Kluyveromyces lactis: one gene and its partner. The protein of the gene in region 1 purifies or fractionates together with the protein of each later gene. This does not show direct contact. Links are inferred from orthologs where the notes say so. Each region holds a gene or a part of one and is shown on either strand. Other genes may lie near its edges.

Region 1 (3,766 bases):
TAAGCCATTGAAAGAACTTCTGAAATCTGCTACACTTATTAACCAATTGTCTAGACGGCAATTGAAAAGAATGACTCCAAAGGTTCCCTTAACTCTTACACTATTACAGTATGAAACTTTTCAAAACATAAATTTAGATGATTTTAGGAAGAAGTATGATTTAACTCGTAAGCAGCTTGGTTTATTAATTGGAGAAATCAGCAATGATACCATTGAAGAATTTGTTGAACAAGCCGCTGTAGAAATCAGTCCTGTGGCAGCAATCATTGGAGGAGCCGTTGCACAAGACGTGATAAATATTCTAGGGAAAAGGCAATCTCCGCTTAATAACTTCGTTGTTTTTGATGGTACGTCTTTAGATATGTGGGTATTCGAACTTTAATGACCCTGGTTTAGTAATTTAGCAATCAGTATCATTATATAGGACTAATTTATATAACATATGCTCATAAAACGCTTTATGAGATTTTTATCAAATATGTACCTGGTTGGAAAGCATAAGCATGGTATGTTCAACACTACTGCCATCAGGACAATAATTATGTTTGACCATTAACAGTTACTTGTTGCAAGTGGGACATGAAATTTTGTAAAGAAACATCATCAGTCAACACGATAGTTGAACCAGCGACAGCACCACTTTGATAACTGTCAGATGGGTTCAACTTGGATAACAAGAATCTGGCTTGCGAACCGCCAGCCTCAGTATCAATGAATCTTGGTAGAGGGAATCTGTCAATCAATAATTCTGCTGCTTCAAGCTTTGGTTCTTCTAATAAGGACTTGAAGTCTGCATACTGCGGATCATCTTGGTAACCTGCTTTTCTCCATTGAGCAATCTGTTCACCGTGATAAATCAAAATATAAAAGAAGGTATCCAACAACAAAATTGTGTTTGGTTTCACTGAAACAGAATCTAACAACACTGGTTGAGGTTCTTCTTCCATGGAGAATGAGGTTAGAGTAGGCTGAATCATAATCAGTGAGTTAGTGGTATCTTCTCTAGTGAAAATGTGTCTGTAAAATGCAGTTTCATCCGGAGAGTTATTGAAAACAGACAAAAACTGAGATCTTCTCAAATAATATGTGAATTGTGGATACAATGAAAATTGAGGAGATAATCTGAATGATGATGGATCATTCTTATTGTAGTCAGCGTATTTTTGACACAATTTAATCAAAGTTCTGTCAATCCATCTAATGACATCAGCGCCATCATCAGATTCTGCCTTGTCAACAGCAATTCTTGCCATTAGAACGGCAGCAGCCTCCTGATCAAAGGAGGATGCAATGGCTGGATTTCCAAAGGACAACATTTGGTTAGCAACAGTGGTGACCCTGACACGGTTTGTACCGGAGGAATGTTCATACGATGTAATGAATTGGGTGTAAGCTAACTTAGGCCTATCTGTCATTACTTCAGCAGATGCACCCGGGTTGACAATTTCAAAGAACACAGCGTAAGTGTGGCGTGGCGATAAAGATGACATCTTCCAAGAAGAAGTACCACCAATACCTATCTCAGAATCACTGACATTGGAGGCCTCGGTCTTAGTCTTCACAGCAGAGGCGTGGCCAATTAAACCTTGTAATTTTAGATCGCTACTTGTCTTAACAGACAAGGTACCCTTGAATGCCATTTGCAAATAACCTTCTTCATCCTTAGAAAAGAATCTTAGATATGACTGTTTAAAAATAGCGGTGGAGAACGCATCAGTCAATAACAAGACACCACCAGTGGAATCTGTTAGTCTCTTCATTTCGGACATACCAACTTGATCATAACAACCAGCAAAAATATCGACTGTATGACCATTGTCAGCGACTTTTTGAGCCAATTGGTTGTAGAATTTACAGGCCTTCTTGTAATGTTTTGCAGAATCAGAATCAATATCGTGATGAGATCTCAATGGGTCTTTTAATTCCGGGGAAACGACAAGACCTGGGCCCACGGTGCCAGGACCGGAGGAGAACAAGATTATTCTAGCAGCAACGTTCTTGTAACAACCTTCCAACACCAACGATGCAATGTTCAAAGCAGAACCAGTCGCTCTTAAAGGTCTGAAACCAGATTTCACATCCCATTGATCAGGCTTCAGGTTTTCCAACAATTGGGTCAACTTGAATTCAACTTGTTCCAATGGTAAGAAGAACCTGTTCAAAGAGAAAGGTGTAACCTTGGTTGGAGCATTGATATTAACGGCTTGTGCAGCATTTAATTTTTCACCGGTTAGCATTTCAACTAATTGAGCCAATTGGTATTCACGATCACCTCTGAACACATTACATTTATCAATAGAAGCTGATGATAAGTCGTGCAGTTGAATCACATTATCGTAAGTGATTAGACCAACTAATGCATTTGCAGGAAGCAAGGACAATGAAGTGATAATTGATTCCTTCAAAGCTTGGAGGTTTTCCTCTTCTGCAGTAGTATCCACAATAAAGAAGAAAATTGGTGGAACTTGGACAGGAACACTGGTGATATATTCAACTGTAGTATTAGTCAATTCCAGTGGTAAAGTTTCCTGCGTCATATTGGCATAATGTTGAGGAAGAATGTTTCTTGTCTTACAAATAGGACAAGTCCAGGTATTGGATCTAACATCGATCTCACAGTAAGGATTTAACACAGATTTACAGTTGATGTTACCACATACCACAGGATTATAGCCAGCAACAGCAAGATCTTCACGTTCCTTCAAAGGAGTGTATAAACATCCAACTGGAACCACATTCTTATTAGCGTCAGTTCTTGACGCTGGAAACACGTTCCATGAGAAACGAACACCGTTAATATCTTCGTTTTGTTCGAAATCCATGGTGCTAAATCTCTTGATTCCAATCTATAAGCAGTTGGAAAAGAATGTATAAATCTTCTATGTGGTTCAAACAGATCAAATCCCTAGCACTCACCTTAGCCTGAGCAATTGGACTTTTACAGGCTACTCTGGTTCTCTTTTTGTTGTGTTGATAAATCCTGTGTATTGCTAGATATTTTTTTCATCAAAACATTTCTTTCAAGGTCAGAAAATGCCAAATAATGCAAAACAAAAAATGACCCACTAAGGAAAGGCTTGAACTCAGATCTCTGTGCCTCAGTGCTGTAAGATTATCGGTTAAACACAGTATTGTTGTGACTAAACCTGACATTCGACTGCAGGTTGCAAAATTCTGCTGTTTTAGAAGCGAGTATCTTAATCACGTGATATGTAAACACGTATTAGAGTAAACTGTTCACGTGTCCGGGTAATGTTTGTGTGGATCACTTTTTGTATTACCATTGATTTAACTGATGTACTTCATTTCAATACAATAAGCTTTCAAATATGCATAATTTGTACTGCAATTACGAAGCTCGGTTCACGATTGGTTTGTTTTTTTGCATTGAACGGTGATACGATTCTGAGAGGATACGAAGTGACCCTACTGTGTTGACTTGTTGTGTCGCTTGAGGTGATTATGGTTTCGTCCGAATGGCAGGTTGTATGGGCTTGTTTTGCGTCCAGATTGGCTGTTTCGTACCTGTTCCCTTCTTTGCAGCAGCAATTGGACAGAACCGTTGAGTTTTCTACTCCGGTTACAAGCTATAGATCTCTGCAAGAAGGTGCGTATCTTTTACTGCATAATTTGCCCATTTATGATGGTGGTGTTGTGCATCATGTGCCTCTGCTGGTAGCTTTAATGGCATTCGTTCAACAAGCGGAGTTTCTAATGCCCGTTTTGTTTGCGGCCATGGACACTCTAATAGCGTATCAATTGATGC
Region 2 (2,606 bases), on another chromosome or scaffold:
ATCATTGTCGTGGACAAGCAAAAAGCCATCTATTACGAAAAGGATGCTTCTGGACAATACATCACCCTAGAGACGTTGCCCGAAGTCCTCTCCATTCTGAATTTCCCCGCAAGACACCCTGATCTTCGTATTGAACGCATCTTTTTGAGAACTCCACTCAGTGGATTGCTCAGATTAATTGACTACCTCCGCGAATTTAGCGGAATCAATTACTTATTTGTTGTGGTGACATTCTTGGCGTTATGGAAAATACCCAGAACCATTCATCATTATAAACTGAAAAGACGTTACGCTGCAAAACGGGATACTCATGGTATCCTCGGGAAGGAAGCTAAGCTCATGGATTGAGGAACAGGAATTCTTCCTATAAATAATCTTATATTTCAACCTAATACTGATAGTTACGATTTATTAATATATCTTTTTAATGGTACATATAATGCGTGAAGGAATGCGTTTAACCAATACGAATTAGATATACATGCTCGATGGGATACTCTTCAGTACATGACCCTTTTGTGGTTTTTTATTTCGCTCTCGCTCTCTCAACGTATCCAGACGTAGAAGAACAAAAGTGTCAGAACACCAAATATTATGAACCATATTTTTAATGGAATGCGAGAATTCTGAGCCATCACCATCATTCTCTTGAAAGTCCTTTTCAAACGGTTGCTAGTCTGTTCAAAAACGTTTCCTAACTGATCTAAGGTCTGATTGCTACCACGAATCTCATCTCCCATTCGTAGAGATAAATTCTTTAGTGCGTTGATCTTTTCACTCATGGTATTCATTTGTTCATCACTTTGAGACTCGAGCTGCGAAAGTGTTGCTTGAGAATAATCTACCCCTGGGGATGGTCTATCAAACGGCGAACTTGGTCTATCCTGTTGTTGTTTATACTTAGAGAAGTCAGTACCCGCAAACAATTGCGTCCTACTCGCATCTCGCTGTGTCAAATCACCTTGCATTCCACTATAGTTTGAACTCATACCTTAATTATTTCTAGTGCCTCAACAATAAAATACAAAGTGTAGATTTGTCAAGATACTCAGATCTAACCATAGGGAATTAAGTGCAGTTTCACCTTGGAACTTCCTAGTCCATCTGTAAGCTACTACCAAATCGATTCGCTTAACGAAAACTTTTTGTTGAAGTTTAATCACGTGATATTGTCCTCGAAGGTTTCCCCTTCGCTCTGACAAAGGTATCATTATCATCATGAAATCCTAGTTAAGCTAAGAGTTAAATGTATTAGTCAACCTACTGTTTAAACGGCTGAGAAAAGTATTTGCAGTATACCCTTTTATAAGTATTCTGTCCACTGTGAGCATATACAGTCATATCTGCAGTGGCTGGTACGTTTAGTGTCCCAGGATCATAATCAATTGTATCTCGATGTCAGCTGAAACCGAATTATTGGGTATGCCTGAGTCCTTAAAGGACATCAAGCACATTATATTGGTCCTTTCTGGTAAAGGTGGTGTTGGTAAGTCATCTGTCACCACACAGACAGCATTAACTTTATGTTTAAAGGGATACAAAGTGGGTGTTTTAGACATTGATCTAACTGGACCGTCGTTGCCTAGAATGTTTGGTTTAGAAAATAAACAGGTTTATCAGGCTTCTAAGGGTTGGATACCCGTTAGTGTTCCTACGACATCAGGAGGGGAATTGAAACTCATGTCCTTGGGTTTTCTTTTGGATGATAGAGGTAATAGTGTGGTATGGCGTGGTCCTAAGAAAAGTGCTATGATTAAACAATTTATAAAAGATGTGGATTGGGGAGATTTGGACTATTTGATTATCGATACACCGCCCGGAACTTCGGATGAACATATATCTATCGCAGAAGAGTTGAGGTGGGCTGCACCTGATGGTGCTATTATTGTTACCACGCCTCAAGGTGTCGCTACGGCAGACGTGAGAAAGGAAATCAATTTCTGTAAGAAAGTCAACTTCAATATACTCGGTGTCATCGAGAATATGTCCGGATTTATATGTCCTCATTGTGCTGAATGTACAGATATCTTCTCTAGAGGAGGCGGTTTCAAATTAGCCAGCGAATATAACGTTCCGTACCTGGGGAATATTCCAATTGATCCGACGTTTGTCGAGTTGATTGAGAAACAGACTGGGTTCAAAGAGAGCTTAGTTGATCTCTACAAGGATTCTGGATTGTATGTCATTTTCTCAAAGATATTAGATAATGTACTGAACGGTGAAGTAAAAAGTGGAACAGATCAATAATGGGTAAATTTGACATGAAACTTTTCATAAGTCAGCCGATTTGCTCATGCCTCGAGGTCTAGTGAACGGTTCTGTGATACATATATGCTCAAGAGTTGTAGCGATTGATGGCCTTGATGTACTCCGGATTGATGACAGTGCTAATGGCGCCGAGGATATCGACTGACGGTACGATTTGGTGGTGTTTGAGTCCGCTGAATTTCCTTTGGTACTATGATAATCTTTTTTAGCATTATTTTGGCTTCCATTTGTACTTTGCCTCGAATAAGAGCTGTTCAAACTCTCGGAATTAGCTTCGTTCTGTGACTGCCCACTATTGTCCTTATTCGCTTCGGTTTCTGTCGTGTTACTACTCTCTG

The links. Proteins that work in one complex are often made in the same cells at the same time.
Region 2: the proteins of SEC23 (region 1) and BET1 purify together in Saccharomyces cerevisiae (affinity purification with western blotting; 4 studies listed by BioGRID, with this or other methods). This does not show direct contact. The link is inferred for Kluyveromyces lactis from reciprocal best matches to the Saccharomyces cerevisiae genes SEC23 and BET1.

The regions. Positions count from the first base shown.
Region 1 is NC_006041.1:432,759-436,524, forward strand, and holds SEC23 (GTPase-activating protein SEC23), read right to left. Parts: upstream 2,823-3,766; coding exon 540-2,822; downstream 1-539. Other genes in the region: E1 ubiquitin-activating protein AOS1, read left to right, coding at 1-382; GPI-anchor transamidase subunit GAB1, read left to right, coding at 3,463-3,766. UniProt on the Saccharomyces cerevisiae protein: Component of the coat protein complex II (COPII) which promotes the formation of transport vesicles from the endoplasmic reticulum (ER).
Region 2 is NC_006040.1:1,198,712-1,201,317, reverse strand, and holds BET1 (Bet1p), read right to left. Parts: upstream 990-2,606; coding exon 546-989; downstream 1-545. Other genes in the region: protein disulfide isomerase EPS1, read left to right, coding at 1-348; iron-sulfur cluster assembly protein CFD1, read left to right, coding at 1,396-2,247; VAB2 (Vab2p), read right to left, coding at 2,272-2,606. UniProt on the Saccharomyces cerevisiae protein: SNARE required for targeting and fusion of ER-derived transport vesicles with the Golgi complex.